2 linked regions of the Saccharomyces cerevisiae S288C genome follow. The protein of the gene in region 2 binds, or shares a complex with, the protein of the main gene of each other region. Each region holds a gene or a part of one and is shown on either strand. Other genes may lie near its edges. The genes, in order: POL1 and CTF4. A codon is read from its position in the direction of its gene.

What was found.
Region 1: the proteins of CTF4 (region 2) and POL1 are in contact, whole or in part, in a crystal structure (PDB 4C93), measured with the Saccharomyces cerevisiae proteins. Residues at the interface, in NP_015461.1 of Saccharomyces cerevisiae: Asp863 (codon at 1,003), Lys864 (codon at 1,000), Leu867 (codon at 991), Arg868 (codon at 988), Ala871 (codon at 979), Gln891 (codon at 919), Arg893 (codon at 913), Ala894 (codon at 910), Ala897 (codon at 901), Lys900 (codon at 892), Ile901 (codon at 889), Arg904 (codon at 880), Ala905 (codon at 877); in NP_014297.3 of Saccharomyces cerevisiae: Phe140 (codon at 2,338), Asp141 (codon at 2,341), Asp142 (codon at 2,344), Ile143 (codon at 2,347), Leu144 (codon at 2,350), Glu146 (codon at 2,356), Phe147 (codon at 2,359), Glu148 (codon at 2,362), Ser149 (codon at 2,365).

The regions. Positions count from the first base shown.
Region 1 is NC_001146.8:428,167-435,059, forward strand, and holds POL1 (DNA-directed DNA polymerase alpha catalytic subunit POL1), read left to right. Parts: upstream 1-1,920; coding exon 1,921-6,327; downstream 6,328-6,893. Other genes in the region: MET4 (Met4p), read left to right, coding at 1-1,587; AVT4 (Avt4p), read left to right, coding at 6,833-6,893. UniProt on the Saccharomyces cerevisiae protein: Catalytic component of DNA polymerase alpha, which in complex with DNA primase (DNA polymerase alpha:primase) constitutes a replicative polymerase. POL1 has a role in promoting telomere replication during interaction with CDC13.
Region 2 is NC_001148.4:797,541-802,822, reverse strand, and holds CTF4 (chromatin-binding protein CTF4), read right to left. Parts: upstream 3,590-5,282; coding exon 806-3,589; downstream 1-805. Other genes in the region: ribosomal RNA-processing protein RRP9, read right to left, coding at 1-464; MSS18 (Mss18p), read right to left, coding at 3,966-4,772; TOM5 (Tom5p), read right to left, coding at 5,114-5,266. UniProt on the Saccharomyces cerevisiae protein: Accessory factor for DNA replication. It plays a role in accurately duplicating the genome in vivo.

The sequences.
Region 1 (6,893 bases), on a different chromosome or scaffold from region 2:
GCCATTGAGTTGAGTGCGTTTGCCGACGATTCTTTCATCTTCCCAGACGAGGATAAGCCGAGCAATAACAATAACAACAGCAATAATGGTAATGACGACCATAGCAACCACGACGTATTGCATGAGGACCCTTCTACCAATAATAGACAAAGAAATCCTCACTTCTTGACTCAAAGAAGGAATACTTTCCTAACTTCCCAATACGACCAATCAAAGTCTCGATTTTCGTCCAAAAACAAAAGAAATGGCAATAACGGCGAAACAAACAACTTTGGCGACAATATGCAAAATAACCATCCTTTTGAGCCAAACTTTATGGGAAGCCCTTCTCAGTTTCCCGCTGACGCAACTAATATGACATCAATCGACCATGGCGGCTTCACAAATGTTGACATTACATCAACTGAGAACAATACTACCGGTGACAATGGAGTGGATGCGCTATCAAATCTACTACATAGGACAACACACACACCGAACCGCTCCTCCCCCCTAAGCAATGTCACTTCTGCTCAAAATTCCTCTTCACAACAACGAAAACATTCGGAAAGCAAAGTCGATAGTAACAGCGATAATAACAGCTCCAACAAAGCCCCCAATATAACTGTTCCTGACTATTCAATTATACCAACCTCTGTTTTAGTAACTCTATTACCGAGGGTCAACGTGCCCAACGGCGCATATAACTCGTTGATCAGCGCGGGATTTGACAATGATCAAATAGATGCTATAGCCGCAATAATGGCGTATCATCATCAAAAAAAGATTAGGGAAAATAACAGTAATAATAATAAAAACATCAACACCAATGACAGTCAAGAGGCACCCATTCTAAAAAACATCAACGAACTTTTAAGTGTCTTAATACCACCCTCTCCGGCTGAAACTGCTGCGCCAACTACCTTATCAACGTCGCCTTCGTTCAATGAGCACGGTGTAGTAGCAGAGGCTTCTTTTCTAAGCTCCATTTTGGAACTGGGCATAAAGCATCCAAAAAGTAATAATATTCACAATCAACGACAACCTTCACGAAACGATCATAAAATATCAAGAGAGAGTGACGGTAACAATGGAAACGATAATGTCCATCATAATAACGCTGTTATTAAGTCAAGTACGACGCGTGGAGACGAAATTGCCAAGATACGATCCGAGCCAACTTTAAATGCAAGTTCTTCTGATCACAAGGAAAATAGTTTAAAAAGATCACACTCCGGAGATTTGAAAAATAAAAAAGTACCCGTCGACCGCAAGTATTCTGATAATGAAGACGATGAATATGACGATGCAGATTTACACGGCTTTGAAAAGAAGCAACTGATCAAGAAAGAGTTAGGGGACGACGATGAAGATTTATTGATACAGTCGAAAAAATCTCATCAAAAAAAAAAACTAAAGGAAAAGGAGTTAGAATCATCGATACATGAACTGACCGAAATTGCAGCATCCTTACAAAAACGGATACATACGTTAGAAACGGAAAACAAGCTTTTAAAGAATTTAGTTCTGAGTAGCGGTGAAACGGAAGGAATAAAAAAAGCTGAAAGCTTAAAGAAGCAAATTTTTGAGAAGGTTCAGAAAGAATAAAATAACAGACTATACAGTTTAATTATATATATATATATATATACGTGCATTTTTCTTAAAGAAATATAACTTTTTTCTTGTACTGCCTGCAATCTCTATTCTTCATTCATCACACATCTATTCAAACGCGTTAAAATTTTTTTGTTAGCCTATAAGTAAAACGCGTCGCGTGTATCCAATTTTACTGAATTAAATTCTTTACTCATTGGATGATATATATCTTCTTGGTCTAGACAACGAACACATACCAATTCAGACTCACGAGAAAAAAAACTGTCTTCACTCTGCTATTAGAAACCAAATAGTATCAAGGCATAAAATAAACAGTGGAAAATGTCTTCTAAAAGTGAAAAATTAGAAAAATTGAGAAAGCTGCAAGCCGCTCGAAATGGTACATCCATCGATGATTACGAAGGTGACGAATCAGATGGTGACAGAATATACGACGAAATCGACGAAAAAGAATACAGGGCCAGAAAGCGCCAGGAATTGCTGCATGACGATTTTGTTGTAGATGACGATGGTGTAGGCTACGTCGATCGTGGTGTCGAAGAAGATTGGAGGGAAGTTGATAACAGTTCAAGTGATGAAGACACTGGAAACCTTGCTAGCAAGGATTCTAAAAGGAAGAAGAATATAAAAAGGGAGAAAGACCACCAGATTACAGATATGCTGCGAACTCAACATTCCAAATCAACACTGCTAGCACATGCAAAAAAATCCCAAAAAAAAAGTATCCCCATCGATAATTTTGATGACATTCTTGGTGAGTTTGAATCTGGTGAAGTAGAAAAACCCAATATTTTACTGCCATCCAAATTAAGGGAAAATTTAAATTCTTCGCCGACTAGTGAATTTAAATCGTCAATAAAGAGAGTTAACGGAAACGATGAGTCAAGTCATGATGCCGGTATTTCTAAAAAAGTCAAGATTGATCCAGATTCAAGTACTGATAAATATTTAGAAATCGAATCATCACCGTTAAAATTACAAAGCAGGAAACTGCGCTACGCAAATGATGTACAGGATTTATTGGATGATGTGGAAAATTCCCCAGTAGTAGCCACAAAGAGACAGAATGTACTTCAAGATACGTTACTAGCAAATCCACCATCCGCTCAAAGTTTGGCTGATGAAGAAGATGATGAAGATAGTGATGAAGATATTATTCTGAAAAGAAGAACTATGAGAAGTGTGACAACAACTAGACGCGTGAATATAGACTCAAGAAGTAACCCTTCAACTTCACCGTTTGTCACAGCACCCGGAACGCCAATCGGTATTAAAGGACTAACTCCAAGTAAATCTTTGCAGAGCAACACCGATGTTGCTACACTTGCGGTTAATGTCAAAAAGGAAGATGTGGTAGATCCGGAAACTGATACTTTCCAAATGTTTTGGTTGGATTACTGTGAAGTGAACAACACTTTGATTTTATTTGGTAAGGTTAAACTAAAGGATGATAATTGTGTGTCAGCCATGGTTCAAATCAACGGTCTCTGTAGAGAGCTATTTTTCCTTCCAAGAGAGGGTAAAACACCTACCGATATACACGAGGAAATAATTCCGTTACTGATGGATAAATATGGACTGGATAATATCCGCGCTAAACCTCAAAAAATGAAATATTCGTTTGAGCTTCCTGACATTCCATCTGAAAGTGATTATTTGAAAGTCTTACTTCCATACCAAACACCGAAGTCCAGTCGAGACACCATTCCATCGGATTTATCTAGCGATACCTTTTATCATGTTTTTGGTGGGAATTCCAATATTTTTGAAAGTTTTGTTATTCAAAATAGGATTATGGGACCATGCTGGTTAGATATAAAGGGAGCAGATTTCAATTCAATTCGTAATGCTTCTCACTGTGCGGTTGAAGTTTCGGTAGATAAGCCTCAGAATATCACGCCTACTACAACAAAGACAATGCCTAATCTGAGATGTCTATCTTTATCGATTCAGACGTTAATGAATCCCAAGGAAAATAAGCAAGAGATTGTTTCGATAACGTTATCAGCATATAGAAATATCTCGTTGGATTCACCGATACCTGAAAATATAAAACCAGACGACTTGTGTACTTTAGTAAGGCCGCCTCAGTCAACTAGTTTCCCATTAGGTTTAGCTGCACTGGCAAAACAGAAACTACCCGGTAGAGTCAGGTTGTTCAACAACGAAAAGGCCATGCTATCTTGTTTTTGTGCTATGTTAAAAGTGGAAGACCCAGATGTTATCATAGGCCATCGTTTGCAAAATGTCTACTTAGATGTTTTAGCTCATAGAATGCATGATCTCAACATTCCAACGTTCAGCTCTATTGGCCGTCGTTTAAGAAGGACTTGGCCTGAAAAATTCGGTAGAGGAAATTCGAATATGAACCATTTTTTTATTAGTGACATTTGCTCTGGTAGGCTGATATGTGATATCGCCAATGAAATGGGTCAATCATTAACACCCAAATGTCAAAGTTGGGATCTTTCAGAGATGTATCAAGTTACATGTGAAAAGGAGCATAAGCCGTTAGATATTGATTATCAAAATCCACAATACCAAAATGATGTAAATAGTATGACAATGGCCCTACAAGAGAATATTACTAATTGTATGATTTCTGCTGAGGTGTCTTATAGAATTCAATTATTAACCTTGACTAAACAGTTGACAAATTTGGCTGGTAATGCATGGGCCCAAACGCTAGGCGGTACAAGAGCTGGTAGAAATGAGTATATCTTACTACATGAATTTTCAAGAAATGGTTTTATTGTTCCTGACAAAGAAGGCAATAGAAGTAGAGCTCAGAAACAAAGACAAAATGAAGAAAATGCTGATGCACCAGTTAATTCTAAAAAGGCAAAATATCAGGGTGGTTTAGTTTTTGAACCTGAGAAAGGTCTTCATAAGAATTACGTTTTAGTCATGGACTTTAATTCTTTGTATCCATCTATTATCCAGGAATTTAATATATGTTTTACCACCGTTGATAGAAATAAGGAAGATATCGATGAGTTACCAAGCGTACCTCCTTCAGAGGTGGATCAGGGTGTTTTACCAAGGTTATTAGCTAATCTGGTGGATCGTCGACGTGAAGTTAAGAAGGTGATGAAAACTGAAACTGATCCCCATAAGCGAGTTCAATGTGATATTCGTCAACAAGCTCTAAAATTGACTGCCAATTCTATGTATGGTTGTTTGGGTTATGTTAACAGTAGATTTTACGCAAAGCCGCTCGCCATGTTAGTCACTAATAAGGGTCGTGAGATTTTAATGAATACAAGACAACTAGCTGAAAGTATGAATCTTCTTGTAGTTTATGGTGATACAGATTCGGTCATGATAGATACCGGTTGTGATAATTATGCGGATGCAATTAAAATTGGCTTGGGATTTAAAAGGCTAGTAAATGAGCGCTATAGATTATTGGAGATTGATATTGATAATGTTTTTAAGAAGTTACTATTACATGCCAAGAAAAAGTACGCTGCTTTGACTGTAAATTTGGACAAAAATGGTAATGGAACTACTGTTCTAGAAGTTAAAGGGTTGGACATGAAGCGTCGTGAATTTTGTCCACTTTCGAGGGACGTTTCTATACATGTTTTAAACACCATCCTGTCAGATAAGGACCCAGAAGAAGCATTGCAAGAAGTGTATGATTACTTAGAAGACATCAGAATAAAAGTGGAAACCAATAACATTAGAATTGATAAATATAAGATCAATATGAAGCTTTCAAAAGATCCCAAGGCCTACCCAGGTGGTAAAAACATGCCTGCAGTCCAAGTAGCTCTAAGAATGCGTAAGGCTGGTAGAGTTGTTAAAGCTGGCTCTGTCATCACTTTTGTGATCACAAAGCAGGATGAAATAGACAATGCAGCGGATACGCCGGCTCTTTCTGTGGCTGAACGTGCCCATGCATTGAATGAGGTAATGATTAAAAGTAACAATTTGATACCTGATCCACAATATTATCTCGAGAAACAAATATTCGCGCCGGTAGAAAGGTTGTTAGAAAGAATTGATAGCTTCAACGTGGTGCGTTTGAGTGAAGCGCTTGGTTTAGATAGTAAAAAGTATTTTAGAAGAGAGGGCGGTAATAACAATGGAGAAGATATTAATAATTTGCAACCCTTAGAAACAACAATTACAGACGTTGAAAGGTTTAAGGATACTGTAACATTAGAATTAAGTTGCCCATCATGCGATAAAAGGTTTCCATTTGGTGGTATTGTATCTTCAAATTACTATCGCGTGTCATATAATGGTTTACAGTGCAAGCATTGTGAGCAACTTTTTACTCCTCTTCAATTAACTAGCCAAATAGAGCATTCTATAAGGGCACACATTTCCTTATATTACGCAGGGTGGTTACAGTGTGATGACAGCACATGCGGTATAGTTACAAGACAAGTCTCCGTTTTTGGTAAGCGTTGTTTGAATGACGGCTGCACGGGTGTCATGAGATACAAATACAGTGACAAGCAATTGTACAATCAACTTTTATATTTCGATTCTTTATTCGATTGTGAAAAAAATAAAAAGCAAGAATTGAAGCCAATATATCTACCCGATGATCTCGACTACCCCAAGGAACAGCTGACAGAATCATCTATTAAGGCTTTAACAGAACAAAACAGAGAACTAATGGAAACCGGCCGGAGCGTTGTTCAAAAATATTTGAACGATTGTGGACGTCGCTACGTTGATATGACTAGCATATTTGATTTCATGCTAAATTAGGTAAGTATTTTGTATGTGTTGTGTGATCTCATGAATATTCTATATAGTAAGAAAAGAATACAACTGTACATACGCATCCTACTAGATACCTAATGTACAGACATCGGAAGGAGCGCTAGGAAGCTTTTATTATTGAAGGTTTTCAGCGATATTCTGAGAATGTTTTTTCGGCTCTGGTGATCAGTTCTCACATGCATCATCCTTTAATAAACCCATGCATTAAGATTCGCCTTATCAGCAAGATCAGATAAGCGAACAGCTTCATCAATGAAATAGAATGCTTAAATCTTGTGAAGCACTGTCATAAGCCAGTTTGATAAAAGCAATACCCACAATATAGTTGGATATCATTTACCTTGATCTGCTCTTGCTTTCGAGGTGACATAGCATTTTTAGCCATCTGATTCCTTAGGTTCAAAGGCACTCATCATTCCTCCTCTAAAACACATTTCAACGTCATTCATAATCTGGAATCAACATAACAATATCCTAGAACACATCATCAATGGTCACTAACAATGGAGATGGTGAGCACCTTGGGATCCGAAGAAACGGAAATTTAAGGC
Region 2 (5,282 bases):
TTTTCCCCTACCCTGGTAAAGCTCTGTTTTGCTTCAGATATTAGAAGTTTATCGCCAAAATATCTGAAGACTCGGCCTTGCTGTTCAGCAACGTCTTCTTTTAACCTGGACGCAATGATATCCTTATCCAAATCTCCAGCATCAAAATTGTTGTACTCGTCGATTGTTCTTTCCTTGAGATTGTTTAAATCTTTTTCTTCAGCGTTCCTATTATCAGTTAAAATGTCATTAGCTTCGCTTTTCAGATTCTCCAGATATTGCTTTGCAAGCCTCCTTCTTTTATCGGCTGGATTTTCACCCTCGAATTCTTCTTCAGATTCCAATGCGTCTTCTTCATCCGAAACTTCTAGTTGTTCATCTTCGTTTGAGGATGGATCTGTGATTTCTTCGTCTACTGTGGGTTTTGATGGATTAACTTCTCCTTTGGATCTTTTCCTCTTTTTCTGTTGGGTAACATCTGACATCTTTTCTAGATTTTCTATAATTTTGAAATGCTAAAGAAGAAATAAAGAACTTTGAATTGATGCTTATTTGAATATTTACGGTACAGGACCAGGTGTTACACTGTTTAATCAAAGCTCATCTATAAAATGTCATCTCTTTTTTTTTTTTTCATATTTTTTCACTTTTTCCTTTCGCGAAAATTCGCAAGGACGCTTCCAGCTCAGATCATGTTCAACGTAACTCTTTATTATCGTCGCATTCAAAGAAATATATGTTAATGTGGGAGCATTTTGAACGATGATTTGAACAAATGAACAGGTATCAAATAATTGTCTCTTGCGTATATATATTTTACATTTTTTTATTTCAATTGCTGTTCATATCTAGCTTCCCTTATATTATTAATTTTTTTAACGAGAGAGGGCAGCTCAGCTCTTTCTGATATCTTAACGGCTGCAGTAAGTGCTCTATCTTGTTTTAATTCATGAGCAAGCGAAAGAGCCTTTTCAACATTTTGGTCTGAGCATGCAGACGCAAATAAACGTAACAAAGCCTTATCATATGCACCGTTCAATGCTGCCAATACCTCATTTTCGTTGCCGTACATTTCACCGTCATTTTCGAGTGTATCTGTCAACAGCTCTGACAAAACCTTGCTGCGCAGATACTCTTCTTCCGCCGCCATAGAAACAGGAATCTGTATTTCTTTGTCTTCTTCCCCTTCTTCCGCTTCGGTGTCAGCTCCAATTTCGTTCTTTTTATTTAATATAGCTTTGTTTTCCTCTAGTAATTTACTCTTAACAAATACTGGCATTCTAATCTCCATTTCGGATGGCAACGGAAGGGGAAACTCGGGCCATATATGCTTGCCCTTAACTAAGATACAATTCAATGTGTCATACGCCAAAGCCAAGGGCCAGACATGTATATCTGTCGTTTCCTTCCCTCCTGACATCTTCCATATTTCCATGTTGCTATCTAGAATAGGGAGCCATTTACTTTCTTCTGGTGATCTCCACTTTGATAACAATAGAAGCGTGTTGTCGGACCCAAAAATGCATGGATCTCCGTAGCTTGAAAAGAACAAACTTTTGATGCCCATCGGATTAAAATTGTAGTAGTCAAGATTTGCGTCTTTTTTCATATCAGAATTAATGTTTGGTAAACTCATTGGAAGTGGACACTCTCTTTTATAGTACCTTTTACTAGAAGTACCCAATTCAGATAAAGAGTATGAAAGGCCATGAAACTGCGAATAATGTACTGAAAAAACCCTATAATTCTGAGCAGTAAGCGCTACAATTGGGGATGTCTTTTCAACAGCAAATGGAACCCCGAATTGATTGAAACTTCTGAAATAGCCTAATGATGTACCAACAATAACGCGAACCGGGGTGGCTGCCACACTTGTTATTCTCTCACCAGCTTGCAAAGGAATAATCTTGGTCCAGTTTGAATGTATGCTATCGTGTGGCCTATATTGTATCTGCCCAGTTTTGGATTGGCCAAATAAAGTGCCTTTTTCATTTAGGAAGCATAAATCGTAGCCAAATAAGTCCTCGAAATGGTATTCTCTAAAACGTCCAACATCAAAAAAAGAGACAGTTATGCTGTATTGCTCACTATTCTTGACAGTAGATACGTAGCCCACTTCATTCATTGTCAAATAACGCCTGTCAGTAAAGCCAAAAGGTGTTCCCGCTGGAGAAAAAGGCATATAACGAAATTTTCCTGTGTTTGCCAAACTGATTGGAAACGAATGAGTCTTGTGTACTCTCGAATAAGAATGTTCATTATGTGGTTTTTTGCCACTAATATAACCAGCACCATCGTCATCATCAATAAAGTCTTCTTCATCTTCGAAGTTGTATTTTCTCTTTTCACTTAATCCACTGGGGCCGTCGTGTGTTTGAGTGAACACATCTTCCGCATTCGCTTCTTGAGTAATATCTGAAAATAGCTTATCGCTTTTGTTTATATCATCATTTCCCTCTAAGTTTTCCAAGTCAGATTCGGAGTCTACAAAAAGCCCATGTTTAGTTGAAGATTCAGCAACAGATTGGTCAGGTATATTAGATACTACGGACTCTGCCAAATTTTGGACAATGGCTATACTACCGGACCAGGTACCTAAAACAAGGTCTAGAGTTTTTGAGTCCGCTTGGATTTTCCAGGCAATATTAGTAATTTTTCTTTTGAATTCCCTGGTGTAGTGGATCTCGGAAGTTTCCCAATTCCATACCGTTAACTTATTATTTAAATCTACTGCCGCAATGTAAGTTCCACGTAACGGGTCAAATTGCAAATCAATGAAATGAGCCTTTGTTGATGAGAGATTTGTGGACAACGTCTTTTGTAGGGAATATCCCTTTATAGAGAATATTTTTACTGTATCATCTGCACATGGTAGCGCAAAATGCAGACCCTTCGGATGCCAAGCCACTCTCGTGCAAATTCTATTAGCAGCACAGAATTCTGGATCAGCTACATTGTTCTCATCTGGATCAGCCGTTTCACTCAGGTCATTATCATTGTCTTTATCTATATCATCCATCATATTCGAGAGTATCTTATCTCTGTGTGTATCATCATATGAATTGGCCACTATGTAATCATTTAACTCATGAACTTTGTTTGGAATAGTAGATGTCAGAGAAAAAATTTGTACCTTACCATTTATCATTGAAACTGCTAAAATATTCATCTGTGAATTGTAAGAAATTTGAGAAACTTGTTCATCGATTTTAATGGCATGTTTTTTGTGTGTTTCATCGTCCAATTCCAAAAGGATTAGTTCTAAGTCGTCTCCTCCAAATACGGCCATTTTACCTGAATGAATAACACAGCAGTCACGTAGGGGTAAAGCAAATCTAGCCAATAATTCTTCTTGACTAGAATCGATGTTATACCTAAGAGCATCACCTTGCATTGTAGTCATCAGAAAGTGCGAGTTTGAATAGCATTTTATAGACGAGACCAATTTGGAAGAATCTAAAGTCTCTGGCTCTTCTTCTGGGTTATTTGTCTTCAGAATCTTGGTTAAGCCATTTTTATTGGCTACACACAAAGTATTATTATCTGGTGCGAGAGAGACCAGAGTTTTCCCACCAAAGTCAAAAACAAGCTTGTCTATAACTGAAACCATAATAGTACGTCTAGTATATTTACGTCACTTCTTGCCCTTCTCAATTATTTTTCCCAAGCTTTCTTATTAATTTAATCTATATGTTCCCATATGTTGGCGTATTCAGGAAACTTTATTACGCGTCGCGTTAAACAGTTAACAATTAATCATTAGTGGAAATTAACGAATCTTAGTGAAAACACCCATTCTCCAGGTGAGATTCTTTCAAGTATCAGGCAAACTACGATTTCACCTAATGAATATCACAAGACGTTTTGAATAATTTTCTGAAGCAATTATGAAACATTATGAAGATATATACGAATATGGATAAGCCTTGTACCTGTGATTTTACACTCAAATTGGACATAAGTAGTACATGAAGAGGATGATTAATTCATCCTTTAACGCGCTTGTTCGAAAATCCTTTGAAACCATGTAATAATATATCCAGATTTTCGGCTGACTTCTCATCAATGTTCATCATCGTCGTTTCGTCGTCTTCTAGACCATTTAACCAAAATTTCATACTCATTGGTAGAGAAGAATATGTGTGGTACAGCGACGGTTCAAAGTGAATTATATTTGGTCCGTATTGGCCGTCTTTCATCCCGACTGATGGTGTAGAATGTTCATCGACCAAAACATCATAATTCCTTCGGCACTGTTCTTCCTCTAACCTGAAAAACTCTTCACTAGATATGTCCACGCCTTCACCTTCTGTAGTGCTAACGTAACGTACCGGCCTCTCAGCAAACAAAAGGTTGCTGTCCCGTTGGAGTTGAAGGAAAGGAGAATCATGCACTTCTACTTTCCCATTCCATCTATCTAGCAGACTTGAATATTTCTGTTCCAGGTTATCATTTTTCTCTTCGTTCGTTTGGACACTAGTCATCGTGGTTAGAGTGGGTTCCTCACCCTTCGTATTCATTATGAGAGCTTTTAAATTAAATAAAACCGTAGCCAGCTTACGAATATCAGATGAAGCCAGTACCAAGTCTAATTTCGGTCTTGTTCTCTGAAATGTGCCATTATTTACTGCGAAAGTCGGCCTTGCATACTTAATATTGGAGAATGTACTCAATTCTGCAGTTATTCGGTTATTCCAATATAGTTCCTTCGGTGGGTATACTGTTTGATAGAATAATTTTAACTCCACAAGTATGCAGTTTTTTCGAAGAAAGTTAACTTCAGGTAAACCCATATGTGCACTGATTTTCTCTTTTCCTTGGTTATGCGTAATAAAGGATTATTTTGTATCGCAACCTTCAATTAAGGTTATCACATTTTAATAATAAAAGCTGGTAAAAAAAGCCGAAAAATCTGCCTGGACAAACATACAGAATACGCATATATACAAGCGAAGAAAGGAGATTTAGGCTCATTAGAGCAGTATCAATTTTTTAAAAAATATTTACACGTCTTTCTCTAAACTATATAAGGTGGGGGGCGCAAATTGACCATTATTTAATCAAAAGCAAATACAAAAAGAGAAACATATTTTAGTGTCATTCATAGATGCAATCTTTTTTCTTCAGTGGGGAATTATTTCCATTGCTTTTTCACCAAATGCCAGATCATTGGGGAAACCCAAAGAAACGCAGCCACATAAGCGGCCTGTTTCAAGGTTTTCTCAGTTTGTTCTTGATGAGCTCTTTTCTCCTCTTCGGAGACTTCCTGTTGAGGTAGACCAAACATTTTATACTATCTAGTT